2 linked regions of the Arabidopsis thaliana genome follow. The protein of the gene in region 2 interacts with the protein of the main gene of each other region in a pairwise test. Each region holds a gene or a part of one and is shown on either strand. Other genes may lie near its edges.

Region 1 (8,032 bases), on a different chromosome or scaffold from region 2:
GTTTGAAGGAGAACCCTTATTTATCATTTTTTTTTTTTTTTTGAACAAACCCTTATTTATCATATAAGATCTTCAAATAAATAATAAAAGTAGAAAATAAAACCTAATGCATAGGATGTACGTATATATATATATATATATGTATATATTGAGAAAAGGTTGAAAGCAACACAGCCTGAACAAATTAGGGTTTTGACTACAAAAGATGGAGCAACAAAAACAGAAGAAGAGAAAAGTAGTCTCGAAAAGTAAAAGAACACAATCAAAATCAGCTTCGTCCCTTCCTCTGGATCTAACCTCGGAGATACTCTTAAGGCTACCTGAGAAATCTATTGCGAGGTTTCGTTGTGTGTCGAAGCTTTGGTTATCAATCACCACCGATCCATATTTCATCAACTTGTTCGAAACTCGGTCCCCACGGCCGAGTCTTTTAGTTTGCTTCATAGAAAATGACAAGTTGTTTGTGTCCTCAATTCCGCAACATCTTCATTCACTTCAGAATTCTAAAAGGTCTTACTCTTCTTCTCAGCTCTTTATCGTTATCATATGGAATTACCAGAAGGATGTAGTATTTATTCCTCTACGGAATCTGTCCAGGGCTTGATCTGCTTTAAGACATCAAAAATGCCGATAGTTTGGAACCCTAGCAAGAGACAGTTGATAACTTTACCCATACCCAGATTAAGCTGGAATAATATAATAGTTTTTCTAGGATACGATCCAGTTGAAGGTAAACACAAAGTAATGTGCTTGCCTTTTAGAAGAAGTTCTGATGTATGTCAAGTGTTAACATTAGGACCAGCTCAAGAATTCTCATGGATAACGGTAAAAACGTACCATAAGCATTGTTCTGACTATCAGAGTTCTGGTCGATGCATCAAGGGGGTTGTATATTATATAGCTCAAGTTTATCATACACATGCTTGGGTTTTAATGTGTTTTGATGTCAGATCTGAAAAATTCGACATGATAAAATTACATGCGGATATTTATAGGGAAATTCTCATAACTTATGAGGGGAGGATAGCTTGTGTTGAAAAACGTACCACGAAGGATGATTACATAGCATTGTGCATTTTGGAGGACGCAAAAAAAGACAAGTGGTCGAGTAAAGATATTCTTGCACCTTTTGGTCACTTTGATGAAAGATTAAGAACCTTTTTCCAACTAAAAGGTTGCACTCATGATGGTGAATTTATTTTCGTATCTTCCACGTTTCGAAAGATGGATTATATTTTATTTTTTGATCCGGTGAAAAAAACCTTTAGAAGATTCGAACTTAAAGAAATTGCAGACGACCAAGCTAGGGTCAATAATGGAGATCCATATGGACCTATATTTGCGTTCTGTGCTTTCTTGGATCACGTTGAGAGTCAAATGTCTTTGCAATAATTTTAATTTTTTTCTTTTTTGTTCTTCCTTTAGAATGATCATTTTTGCAAGTTTAATTATGATTTTTTTTTCTTATAAGTTCTCATCCCTTACTTTGATTCTATCACGTGTCATCTTCCTCCCTTGCCAATTCCCTACAGCATTTCACAAATTCAACATCAATCATTTAGTAGTAGTAACTCGATCCTTATCTTTCTAAAGACTTTTATTTATCTTTTTGGGCCCTATAAGTGAATTGCACCAAGATTACGCATATACCTGTTGGAACTTTTTTGACAAAACCTTTCCGGTGACTTTTCCGCCAAATTTCGACCAAACGGCTGAACGGAATTATCGGGACATTAGTGCATTGGAAAGCGGGTAAAGAGTACTACAAAATGGTATACTCATACGTCAAAAACGGAGTTGTATTGAATAAGAAATAAGGGTGTAAAGTGGGACACTTGGGCCAAACCTGATCGAACCGAACCGAACTAGGATGAGCCGGGCTGCGGGTTGTCGGGACGTCCCATCGTCGACTCAAGGGCTGTCGGGCTTGCGGACCGTCATGCTTGTGAGTTATTGGGCTTGCTGAGTTGAATCTTATGGAAATATTCTCAGAATAGTCTCAAAATATTCTTAGGATAGTCTCAAAATATGTCATGCATATCCTGAGAATATTCTCACAAAATCCTATTTTCCTCTACTATATAAAGAGACCCAGCCTCTCATTATTTCTCAAGCTCTCAAAGACAAAACACTCTAAATTCTAAAGTCTCTCCTCTCTCTTGCTTCTTAGAAGTAAGTTCTTAGTTTAAAAACATCATACTGCTTAACATAGATAATTATATAGGTTAAACAAAAGCTCGATAAACGCATCAATGGCATCAACTTCCGATTCGGGCTACATCTCTATGGGGCTCACTCTAAAGATCGCGAATCAAGATCTAAACCTCGACGATTTTAAAGAATCCACCATCTTCTCATCTTCTGATCAAGCTTTCTCTAGATTTACTCATCATTTTCGGAGGATACGTCATCAATCGACTTCCCTCTTGGAAAGAACTTTTAAAATTGGGAAGACTGTGAAAAAGGGGATCGAAACCCTAAATTTTTATTAATTTGGGCATTTTGTTATAACCTATAGAAATATGTATGTTTCTGAGAACATATAAATAACTGCGAGCTAAGTCGGTAAAGGAAAGTTGTTATATCTCACAGGTTGCGGGTTCAATTCCTCAACTTGTAAAAAAAAAAAGAAATTGAAACGACGTTGTTTTATAAGTTAACAGAATTTATAACCGAAGACTTAATTCTGTTAATTTCCCGTAATTTTGGCTCGTTTAAGTCTTAAATAATATCTTATGACAAAAAAAAGACTTAATTCTGTTATTTTTTTCGTCAGTTGACGTAACGTTTTACCCGAAATGGCAAAATCAACGAAAGTTATCTATTTAATTCTAAAGTCAACAATAACTTTGGTATTTAAGTGACATTTCGAAAATTCATGTTTTTTTGTTCTAAATTTGAAAGTTCACATTTTTTTGACATATTTTCCAAAATTATCACATATATTGTATATTATTTATATATAAAAAACATTTCATTACGAAAATCCGATTGAAAAGATAACAAGATGGAGGACACAACTTCCTTCAAACTAAAGCAACCAAAATTTATTCCTTAAACTTTTGGAAAGAAAAATAAACGGTAATTGATTTATATGATATAAATAATTATATATTTATATTTATTTTGACGATTGTTCTAAATAGTTCCAAGAAATCCTGGGCCGAAAGCCCGAAACTCATACATTCCTTTGCTCTGTCCAGACGAATACTCGGTCCTCATCATCTTATTCTTTGTATTCTTTGAGAGTATCGATGGAGAAGACAAATCCTCCATCTCTACATGTTTCCTCTTTAAACCTGCTTGATAGGCCTCGAGTTTCGCCTTGAAAGCAACTAAGTCCTCCAATTTCAGATCTACATTCTCTTTCATATTGGACTTTTCAAGGTTTCTTTGCTGTTTCTTCCTCAAATCCTAAAATTGACAAAAAAAATATTATATAATATAAAATAAATAATGATTATTTAATTCTGTGTATAATAGCAAACCCATCTTTGTAATCTATATGTTGAGAACGAAGAAGAAGGAAAACTAACGGATGAGATTATATTAATGATGGGAAACATACCTCCTGAAACTCTTTGATTTGTTCCAATTCTTTCATGAGACTCCTGAGTTTGGACGAAGCACTAGGATTTTGAATACGCTCAACCACATCGTTGAAGCATGGATAACCGTATGTGTATGGTATATTAGTGGGGGAGATGACCAAGACAGCAATCTCTACATTACACAACTTCGCGAGTTCATCAGCCTTCTTAAAAATGCCATTTCGGCGTCTTGAAAACGTCGCTTTCCTTTCGATGCTATCTTCAATAAATTTTATCTCTATTTTTCTACGACCCATTTCTTAGTTTTAGAGAGATGTTTTTGTTGTTGGTGTTGTTTTTGTTACTACTCTACTCCATTTTATAGATGGATTGGTTCAAGTAGGTTTAACGCATTAATTATAATTTTTTATCTTTGTTATCCTTTTTTTATTAAAATATTTGAATTTACCTTTTAAATATATTTATCTTTTAACTACTACCATAAATATCTTTATAACTCTGACTACACAAATTTATCATAATAGTCAAGAGTTGGTATTCCAAACAAATTCTTAAGATATATTTTCTGAAGAAAGTATAAATTTTGTAATGCTTATCTTTCATTAGAAAATATTTAGGAAAAATACAAATTTTGTAATAATTATAAATTAGATTTAGTATCTCTACATATCATTCCATATATACAAATTTTATTTTAAAATGCAAACTCACACGCGTCAAACATGCGCACTAGCCACGACATATCAATAAAATGAAAATAAAAAACTGATGAAACTTGGTAACAACTTTTTCTAAATTAAAAGGAGTTTTTTATTTTATTATTTCATGTTTTGTTTTCACTCACACGGATCCGACAATAATCACTTCTCCTAAATTCACCCATCAAAAGACATAGGTGTCAAAATCAATTCTTTTAAACATTTCTACATGCATCACCATATTTCATGAAACTAAAGTGTTACAATTCATCCCTCTAGCAGATCGTATCGTCCTGGTTGCGCATCAAGACCGTCACAATCGACTTTGTTAACCCTCTTAACTCCACATTCGTCTGGGTTTGGCTCTGATACCGTTTGTAACTCCCCGACCTCCATCTTTCTTAGTGACCCCACGTCCTCTCTCGGCTCACGGGCTCACTCTTACCCGATAGCCGATCCATTACGTTTACGAGGCTTTAAAGGCTTGTTTACCGATCCTACATATCACCACATTATATTTTCTCGTGTTTTATCCTCGCTCATATACAGTTGCGACAATCACTTCTTGGAAGGTCATTCCCTGTAATTTTTCTAACTTAAGCACGCTTAATTATGAAGTTCTTTTCAGATGTTTGACTGAAAATAAGTGCAATTTGATGATATAGGTGGTCAAATCAAATTTTTAAAACTTCTCTGCATGCACCACCATATTTTGTGAAACCAGGGTGTTACAAAAGGTCAAATAAATTGATGTGGATATCGAATTAGAAGATTCCTCATGTGATGCACAAGATGTGTTGGATGGACCCACATCCAACTAGAAGATTCCTCACCCGATACACCAGAGGTGTTGGATGGATCTGTGATTCGACCATGCAATCGAAAACCCTAAAACAAGTTCAGTGCAAATCTAGAGACCCTATTTAACTCCATGGAATTTTAGCTGGAGCACCAACTTTCCGTACTGAGCTGTTTTTCAGCCGAAGACCCATGAAAAATATCTACATTAATCAACTCGACAACGAAACGTTAGAGGATATATTCAAAAATACTTTACCGGCAACATCAGTTAGCAATCTACGACAAATGACATGGCGATCCGAGACCAATGGACTAAGGCTTCAAAAATCATCGAAAATTCATGCATTGTAAAGGGAATAGTCTAACCGAAATCATGCATTATCAAACTCGTTTTGGAGATGAACAACATGAGCATTATGACAACCTTACATGTAGCCGATAACATGTCTTTTATTGAGTTAAAGTGCGTTTCAAGATTTTCTTTAATCCTTTACAGGTTTTAGATTGATATGGAGGAAAAAACATTTTGGGATGCAAACACGCATTTGGAGATGTGAGATCATGTATAAGGGTTTGGAGTTTCGCGTCATGTGGAAGATTTTCCACCGTTATATCTTCCTCATATTGTGATACAAGCTAGGTGATGATCTTTGCTTTTATTTCCAAGTGATTTGAAGAAAATCTAACAGTGAAATAAGACGTTATGGCCAATCTACTTAAGACATGTCAATCAGATGAAACTGGTGTGGAAACTGATCCAGACAATCAGAGACCGATAGGTCTATATATACTTGGGACCGATCAGTCCACCTTCATTTTTGAGTCGACCCTAGTAGGTCAAAGGAAGATATAATAATAAGGTCCCTATGCAGCCAATGTATTGACCTTTTTCGTATCTAGATCAATAAAGTCCAACTTTCTTCTCAAGCTGTTTGCGAAAAATAGATCAAACCAATTTTATACATTTTCCACGGCCGCATTAATTAAACCGGACAATTCGGGAATGGCACGCAAACCAATTAATCAAACTCGATTCCGGTTATCTTCAATTCTCCTTCTTCTTCATCTTCGCGTCCGTGAAGAACAACAATTGAAAAAGCTCCATCTCCTCCAATGGCTACGAAAGCTCCAGAGAAAATCACCAAACCAAAAGACAGAGATTTCCTAAATCATCTCGAAACATATCTCTCCAAAAGAGATGGTGTAGACAAACTCCTGAAAATCTCTCGTTACGCAACAAAAATCATCCTCGCATCATCACTAATCCCAGAAACCAGATCCATAATCCCCCGACTCAAAAGCTTCGAATCAAGCGTCGGAGTCAGTCGCAAAGCCTTCCGTCTCGGAAAATTCGTACAAGACATCAACGCATTAAGATCCTCACGATGGGATTCAAATCACGAGCTCGTCTTACTCATAATCGCGTACGGTGGTGAAGGATTATACTATTTCGTTGAACAATTCATATGGTTAACGAAATCAGGACTGATCGATGCGAAACATTCGAAATGGCTTCAGAAGATTAGTGCTTGGGCTGAATTGGTTGGTTATGTAGGAAGTGTTTCGATTAAGATTAGGGATTTGAGGAAATTGAATGATGAAGAGAGTTGTGTTGCTTCGACGATCGAGATCTCGGTTTCGAGAGGATTAGCTTGTGATGGTGAAGATGAGAAGATGAAGATGATTAAGGAGAAGAAGACATTGAAGGTTTTATCTATTTTGCAGGATCTTGCTGATGGTTTGATGACGATTGCTGATATTCGTGATGGTAAGGGAGTGTTATCGGCTCCTAATGTGATATCTTCTGCAGGTTTGTTTTCTGCTATTGTTAGTACTCATAAGAACTGGATCTCTTGTTGATGATCATGATGATGATGTTCATCGTTCGTTTTTCGATTGAATTATAGTATTTGCTTATCGAATAAAGGTTTCGTTTTGATTCTTCGGTGGTTTGAACTAAGAGAGCTAGTTTAGATATAAACAGCGTTGATGCAATACATGATTTTGAAAATGAGAAAAGATTCAAATTTGGAAGCAATACAAACAGAAAGAAGATGAAGAATGGCTTATGAAAGCCTGTTAAAATCAAATGAAAAGCGATGGCGCGGGAAATCTGTTTTCGAACTCCATTACAAAGATAGAAGAAGGATAAATCGTGGTTTGTGTTGCTAACGAAACGAATGAGAGACCGCAATGGTTTTTGTTGGAATGTCTACCTTTCTTTCAAGGAGCTGCTGTTAGATTTTGAGCGTTTGAGTTGCCAAGGAGGTAAGCAGCCTCTGAGAGGTGATTGTAGGAACAATGATGATGTTGAAAGCTGTTTTTGTCTCATGGAGATGGATGATAAACAGCTGAATGAGCTTCTAAGACTTCTCTTTTCGTTTTCTTCCTCCGGGATTTGCCCGTCTGGATCGTGGCAGACCGCTGTTATCTTGAGGGACTCGGGAAGTATGCAGCTGCACACAGAACCTGCAGAAAAAAAAGTAAATTAGTCTTTCAAATAAGACTTCTTCAACAATTCTCAAATGCAACAAACATTTGTTACCTATTTGTGCAAGCCGATTCACCCATTTTGGGATCTTTTTCCCGGTAAGCTTGTAGCAAACGTCCTGGCAGAAATGGTTGCAGTTCTTAACAATCAAGTGATACATATTCCCGTAGTAACTGCAAGCCATGTCTTCCATAAACTCTCTCACTTGTGTTGGGTTTAAATTCGTGGTTCCAATGAATATCGATTTCTTGAACTTGAAGCCCGGGCATTGCCTTGGTTCAACCTCAAAAACACCACTCGTTGCATAATCATGGGCACCAAAAGCATACTCTACTCCATGAACTGTAAACGCCAAATGTTCAGAGTTAGCTATAGCAGTAACTATAAGTACACCAGAGATGCAAATCTTTGGATACTTCAACCATATGAACAAGAAAACACAAGCGAGCGCCTAAAGCTTACCTTCTACACCAGAGTGAAATATACCAAGG
Region 2 (7,922 bases):
TTCAGAGAAATTCCGATGATTTCTTCTCTAACCAAAATAAAAATGAAGTATCATTTGATAGTGATTTTTGTGTTCTTCTTTTGATTCTCTTATCTCTTCCTTCCCATCAATAAACCCAAAAAAATTAATATCATTTTTGGGATCTTATTGATCCCAAAATTCGTAAATCCGTTGACCTTTGTCGGCATGATTTGTTCTTACTTACCGTAAAAAAAACAGAGCTAGGTTTTAGTTTTCGGACATGGAGGTTATGAGACCGTCGACGTCACACGTGTCAGGTGGGAACTGGCTCATGGAGGAAACTAAGAGCGGCGTCGCAGCTTCTGGTGAAGGTGCCACGTGGACGGCGGCAGAGAACAAGGCATTCGAGAATGCTTTGGCGGTTTACGACGACAACACTCCTGATCGGTGGCAGAAGGTGGCTGCGGTGATTCCGGGGAAGACAGTGAGTGACGTAATTAGACAGTATAACGATTTGGAAGCTGATGTCAGCAGCATCGAGGCCGGTTTAATCCCGGTCCCCGGTTACATCACCTCGCCGCCTTTCACTCTAGATTGGGCCGGCGGCGGTGGCGGATGTAACGGGTTTAAACCGGGTCATCAGGTTTGTAATAAACGGTCGCAGGCCGGTAGATCGCCGGAGCTGGAGCGGAAGAAAGGCGTTCCTTGGACGGAGGAAGAACACAAGTAAGTCTCTGTTTCTTCTTTTACACAAAAAAGAAAGAAAAAATCTCTGTTCTTTTCCGGTTTATTGGGAATTGACATTAAACCGGAATTAGATGGTTTTATACCGGAATGGTGAAATTTAAATCTACTTAAAAATCAGCTCAGTCAGTGGTGAAATTGACATAAATGTTGGTCACTAATCATGCAAGGTAGTAAAATAGTTAAACATAAATCAGTGACATGATTGATTGGAAAAATATCCAATATTTAAATTACTAGTTAATGACAATTTGATAGTATAAATGTATAACACTGTGGTTGTATATAACTTTATGAAAATATCTTAGATTAGATATTTCTCACAATCGGGCTATTTCTAATTTGTTTGAACAAATGCATTGCATAATCGTAGTATGATTTATGCAACACTGTTTAGCTGCAAAATCTTGCCTAATCACATATATAACGCATCAAACCTACAAAGAACAATTTATTTGGGTCAAGATTGTATGTAGATATATTTGATTCCATATTTGTCACAATTCAGGCTATTTCTAATGGGTTTGAAGAAATATGGGAAAGGAGATTGGAGAAACATATCTCGGAACTTTGTGATAACGCGAACGCCAACACAAGTAGCTAGCCACGCCCAAAAGTACTTCATCCGGCAACTTTCCGGCGGCAAGGACAAGAGACGAGCAAGCATTCACGACATAACCACCGTAAATCTCGAAGAGGAGGCTTCTTTGGAGACCAATAAGAGCTCCATTGTTGTTGGAGATCAGCGTTCAAGGCTAACCGCGTTTCCTTGGAACCAAACGGACAACAATGGAACACAGGCAGACGCTTTCAATATAACGATTGGAAACGCTATTAGTGGCGTTCATTCATACGGCCAGGTTATGATTGGAGGGTATAACAATGCAGATTCTTGCTATGACGCCCAAAACACAATGTTTCAACTATAGCTAATGAAGATCCATCTCTCTAATTAAAAAGTGTAAGTTAAATTCTTAATTTTTCATATGGACGAAACAATCATATTTGGCAATTGTATAATAAACGTCCATTGTTTTAATTCCAAATTGAAATAGTTAATAAAAGTCTCTTGACAGTGCCTAAGTTATCTTTGAGTAAAATTGTTAGTTAAGTTTCAAATGGTTGCAAGTTGCAAATTAACAAGTGGTGTGACAAAATGAAAGATAGGTGATGCCAAATTAAAACGATATACAAGTGAAGCCAAATTATATCGTCTTTAACAGCTTACGTTATACGCATATATACAACATAACTCCAACTACTCATCCACTTCACTTCTGGACCACCGATACGAAATGGGCTGTCACAGCTTCACATCTAATACACACAAGTTCATCAGCGGTTTAAGATTCATGAACATGCTTGAAGCGTAAACCGAGACTAAACCTAACAAAACATCATCATATGTGTTGTGTACGATAGACAAACCCGATCGAATTAGCAGATGTAAGAAGTGCTTAAACAAATCCTAAACAGTGCCAAATATGCAAATGGTGGTTGTGAATAACCCCTTTTGAGAAACACAACAATAGTCTAATTCATATCAGCATTATCATATTATATAGTATGATGCATAAAAAAAATATTAAATCCGATATTGTGCAGTGTTAGTTGTTGAGGGAAAAAATTAAAAAAATATGTTTGTAATACAAGTTGCAGGGAAAAAGGTTCAAAGACACAAAGTTGGCCATCTCTAACTTAAATATCCAATATTTGTCGTGTAATGTTTGAATAATGTATAGATCACAATATGGCATTATTCGTTGTTCGTCTCAATCAACCAAACTATTCTTTCAACAACCACTTGAAGTTATAACAACGGACAATGTTTGAGAACAGTGCAACTAATTAAACTTTATAGTCCTTAATTTTTTCTTTTATTTTTTCCTTTTTCTAGACACGCTATAGATAGTCTGTAGGACAGTAGACACTATACGTATTTTGTTTTTTTGGTATAACCAAAGAATTTTGGAATTCAATCAACAAAAAGGTACAAATTATTAATTAGCTTTTAAAACAATGAACAAAAGCTATCAAGTAATTGAATAATCAACAAAGATTAAAAAAGATATTTTCTTTTAAAAAAGCTTTTACAAAAATAAATTACTCAGTTGCAAGATTTATAGTCTAGTGGTTAGGGTTGTCAATGTCTTACCATCCCAATTAAAACTCGACACGGAAAGTAAAATGATTAATTAATTCATCTTAACTAGTTCTTATAGATTTTGTTTTTTGGGACAATTTGGGAGATGATCATATAAAAACCAAGGATAATATAATAAAATAAGTGGTACATTATTTTCTGAGTGTTTAAAGAAAACTTTACGTATAACCGAAACTTGTATAAAATGTAAAAAGATGATGTTATGTCAAAAAAAAAACACTTGACTTTTGCATGTCAAGCCATCATACACAAAAAAAAATTAAAAACCCCAACAGAAACAAAACTATAAAACCCTAAAAACTAATAAAGCTCCGTAATTCAAATCATATCGTTTTCTTCCCTGAAAGCTCCCAATTTTCAACTTGATTTCCCGATAATCTCCAATTAGGAATATTAAACGGGACTTGATATCCCATAAACGGGTTAACATTGAAACCTGCAGACCTCGATACAACCTGTTCACGATTATAGTATGGTTGTTCTTGCCTCTGCATGAATTGAGTACCATCGTTTCCCTTTGACATCATCAAGCTTTGAGTCAAAGCCAAGTCGGTCCACTTCTCCATGAGATTTGGGTCCATTTGAATCTGACCATCATGAGGTGAAATCAACGAGAAACCCATATTATTGAAATTATTAGGGAAGCCTTGAAACTGTGGCTGCTCATGAAAATACTGTGGCATGAATTGTTGGTCCATTAAATTCTGCGGGAATGGTGTGTCCATGGCTTGATGATTAACCCTAAACATACTACGCTCCTGTCTCGTTACAGCTTCATTTAACTTGCTATCCACGGCACAGAAAATCCCATGTAGTTGCTCTCGTGAACACTTGTCTAGCTTCTCCTCCCAACTAGAATACTTATTCTCACGCTTCACTCTCTTTTTAGTCACCACCTCGTTTCCTTTCCCTACATCGTTGACGAAAGTCTCCACGTTGGTTTCTTTCCTGCAGCTGGTCGACACTGTGTCTTTGTACTTGCGTATGATGGCCCTGACTTTGGTCTCGTCCTTCGGCCATATCTCTGGCTCGGAAATCACCACATCGGTAGCCTTCGTGGGACCGTAGACGATGAGACATGTCTCGACGCCGCAGAGAGTTGAGAACTCTTGTGCCTTCTTGTAAAGACTAGCTTTCCTCTTCTTGTAAGTTGTTATCCTTGTCTTATCGTTCGCTATCCTTTGTAGGTCGACCACTTTCGGAACCATCCTTTGTAACCTGAGTTATTGTTATATATTACAAAAAAAAACATATAAACATATAAACCTTTTTCCCAAAAACAAAAGTACAAATAAATTGAATTGATATGTTTTGTAAAATACTTTGTTTATAGGCGTTTTGTGAATAGTTGGTCTATAAACACTCAAATTATGATCAAAACAACCCAAATTAAAGGCGTTTTTTCTATGCTGCCTCAATCCCCACACAAACCATAGGATAGAGCGAAAGAATTTTAAAATTACACTCACGAATAAATGAGAAAACGCAAAGCCAATAGTCAAAATCCGAGAAGTAGGAGCTAGCTAATTCTCGACACCCTCAAAACGAAATCAATCCCACAACAGAACAAATGAAACATGAAATACCTTAGAGCCAGAGCAGAATTAATGAACAAATGTAGAAATTGTTTATGGAAAAGATAGTATCCTTACTTGAATATCAAAGCAAAAGTTTCAATGAGATTTTATACCAAAACCGATTTTTTGGAGCTTCTGTCGGAATAAGGGTGAATCAAGCTAATATATGCGAGATTTTATATATTGAGCTTGATTAGGTTTGTGTTTATGGAAGGTTGTCAAAGATCACGAGATATGAACATTTAAATGATCATGAAAGTTTAGGAAAGAAGAATTAAATTGGGAATATTTAGTTTGCCAAAAGGGAAAATATACTAACTTGAAGATGCTTACCAAGAAAGACAAAAATGTTAAACACAGTTAAATTTATTTCTTTCCTTATTAGTTAGACGGTTTAATATTTATACACTTATTGTAATCTTGTTATATAATAGTCACCTTTAACGCCGGCAGCTCTTAGGGCCGTTGTTGTACTACTTATCCGTTGTATGCCGAAAAACTTTCTCGATTCGATTCGTTTTTTATGGATATGGGTAGCTTTAGGTTGTAATATGTTTCGCTAATATAATCTTAACATTAAAACAAAGAAGAAAAGAAGAGAAATGAATGCTAGTAGTTCTTCTGTGAGTATATATTCAAAAGATTTATCCATCTCTATACAGTATATTACAAAAGAATGAGTTGCCTTTACAAGTTGTATAATTAAACAAAAAGTCCATTAAATAATGATACAACACAATGTTTCACCTGTTATGGATCAAAAAGAATTCTTAACACATTTTCCTTGTGGCGTACCGTACCTTATGTGCAGCGTTACTTGTTTTCGTCATCATGATTCTGTGTGTTAGTATCATCAATGTGTTAATTTTCTGCAAAATAGTAAGCATTTGGTTATAACATAGGAATATCAAACACTTTTCTGATCATCTATGCTTTCTTCTCCATTTTTGAATTACGACTAACCTAAGACTCTGTTTTCGTGTTTTGTTGTTTGGATCTCCGCATTTTGCATTTCCTCTATTACTTTCTTGGATTCTTCATCGTCTTCTCTACCGACTAAACCAATATTATGGTGCAGTGATTCTAAATTAAGCTCTAGTTCCTTTTCCATAGCTTCTCCAACTTGCTCATCAAGTTTCAGAATCACTTCATCATTCCTCTCACTAGCAGCTAAGTCATTGGCTACTGCCGCGGTAATATCTTTATTGATATCTTGAGAGACGGTGTTTGAGGAAGAGGCAATAACATCGTCTTGCTCTAGTTGCTGGGTGATCTCCAATGTTCTTGGTGATATCCCTTGGGAAGAATCTATACCACACTATTCAATAAAAACAAAAGTGTCAAAAGCAATTACTAAAACTTCAAATCAAGAACCAACAACAGAGGAAGAAGCTAGTAAAATTTATTATCTTAGTAAATGGTTATGGATAATCACATATTCAGTGAATCATTGGTGGAGTCAGATTTGTCTAAAATGTCAAAGATGATTAGAATAGAAGGTGAAACCTGTTGAGTCCATGTTTGTGAATCTTGTGAGTTTTGAGTGTCAGCTAAAACTACTGATTCTTCCTCAACATTGGCTCTATTTTTGTATCCTTGGGGCGTTTCATCATTAAAATCTTTCAATACCTCTGTTTTTTCTTCTTCCTTAGAAATCTCCTGATCAGTTGACTCATCTAGTGGTGAGTTATTACCATCTTGGACTTGCAGAAGTAACACATCACTAGCATTTTCTGCGTTTCCACAGGCCTCAACATTTCCTCTATTTTTGTATTCTTGGGTTGATTCACCACAAAAATCTTTTAATAACTCTGTTTTTTCTACTTCCTTAGAGATCTCCTGATCAACTGACTCATCTAGTGGTGACTTATGACTATCTTGGACTTGCAGAAGTATCACATCACTAGAATTTTCTGCGTTTCCATAGTCTAAATCAACCAACTGTGTATGAGCATTGCTCGAAGATGCTTCCAAGACATTATGAGTCTTCTCTTCCTCTACTAGCATTGCTTTCTCATCAGCACTTTTGACTAATTCCTGACCATTCTCTTCCCTTACCACACTTTCTAGTAATTCTGTAGAAACTTGTCCCGGAGAACTCTTCAAATCACTTTCTGTTTCTTTTGTTGTTTCCTCAGTAGACTTGTCTAAGTTTGATTCTTCTTCTTCTTGTACCTCTCTCTCAAATGATTCTATAAAGGGTGTGTCCAAAGAAGCATCCAAGAAGCTCTTAGTTTCCTCATGTTCTCCTTGAATGCTATCCGACGTTTGATCTGTCTGCTGATGATCAATGATATCAAAATCAATAATCTTAGGAGATCCACAAAGATCATCATTTTCTATTTGTTGCATATCAGCAACTTCTTCATCTATCAAATTCTCCATGGATAAATCAAGACTAGTCAGAGGTCTCTGGTCAGTTAATTCTCCAGTCAAACTATTCATAATCTCCGAGTTGACGCCATCGATCGAATCCAAGATTGTTTCAGGTTCTTCTGTTATAGACGACAATGAGGCACTTGTATGGAACAACATACCTTCAAATCTCCCAGAACTTGTAGGCTTGGACACATCACTGGAACTAGAAGGTGTCTGCTCAAAAATCTCTTCACTTTGGGTTCTTCTATCTAACAATGACATATCATCAACTGTTATAAGGTCTTCATCTACCACACAATCCTGATCTGGTTTGGCCTCAGGTTTAGTACTTGGCTCACTATTCTCCTCTTTTGATCCTATTCCACTTCTTGATTCATATTGATGAGACATCCTCTTACGTGATTCTTCATCGCGGACGATTTCTCTGTCAATATCTGTATCATAAATGTAAGATTCACCACCAGTAGACCAGTCATCAAGCCAATCAACTGTTGTAGGAGGTGAACCAATCTCTGAAACCTCAACTTGCATATCCGAGGCAACTGAAAATGTTCGACTGTGCGAATTTCCACATTTGCGAGCGTAAAACATGTTGTTATCATCTAGTCTTGGCGCTACTATACCTCTAGGTAATGTGCTTGGAATACTATTTCTTGCTTGATTCACAAGATAACCGGGATTGTTGTCCATGGATTGGCATATAGCTTCCCTGAGCTCCGCTTTGTTTAAACGGCATAGTTCTGACTCACTTTCTTCTGAACAACTTGAATCATCACATTCTTCTTTGTTTGAATCTGTCTCATCATTCATTTCTACCTCTTTTTCTTCGCTTTTTCGACTCACAACGCTTTTATCATCGTCTTCTATTGTAGCTTCTTTTCCATTTAATGGGAGATTTTGTTCAGTATGATCAATATATTCATTCTCCAAATCTGTAGACAAAACAAGTACATTAATATTCACAGAGAAAATACAAACACCAAAATTTAATTACCAGAAAATGTTAGAGATATAACCTAAACGTTTCCTAGTAGTTGAAATGTCTGAAGCAGAAACTGGGCTGTTCATACACTGAACATGTTCTGGTGAGAACAGAG

What was found. Proteins that work in one complex are often made in the same cells at the same time.
Region 1: the proteins of AGL82 (region 2) and AGL102 interact in a two-hybrid assay, tested with the Arabidopsis thaliana proteins (one large-scale study listed by BioGRID).

What each region holds. Positions count from the first base shown.
Region 1 is NC_003070.9:17,568,266-17,576,297, reverse strand, and holds AGL102 (AGAMOUS-like 102), read right to left. Parts: upstream 3,885-8,032; 5' UTR 3,848-3,884; coding exon 3,569-3,847; intron 3,415-3,568; coding exon 3,139-3,414; 3' UTR 2,925-3,138; downstream 1-2,924. Other genes in the region: AT1G47765 (F-box and associated interaction domains-containing protein), read left to right, coding at 206-568, 598-1,392; PEX11A (peroxin 11A), read left to right, coding at 6,164-6,910; AT1G47740 (PPPDE putative thiol peptidase family protein), read right to left, coding at 7,263-7,519, 7,596-7,883, 8,004-8,032.
Region 2 is NC_003076.8:23,776,987-23,784,908, reverse strand, and holds AGL82 (AGAMOUS-like 82), read right to left. Parts: upstream 4,078-7,922; coding exon 3,193-4,077; downstream 1-3,192. Other genes in the region: AT5G58900 (Homeodomain-like transcriptional regulator), read left to right, coding at 242-687, 1,214-1,634; AT5G58880 (LRR protein), read right to left, coding at 5,308-5,315, 5,410-5,764, 5,953-7,757, 7,842-7,922. UniProt on the Arabidopsis thaliana protein: Probable transcription factor that may function in the maintenance of the proper function of the central cell in pollen tube attraction.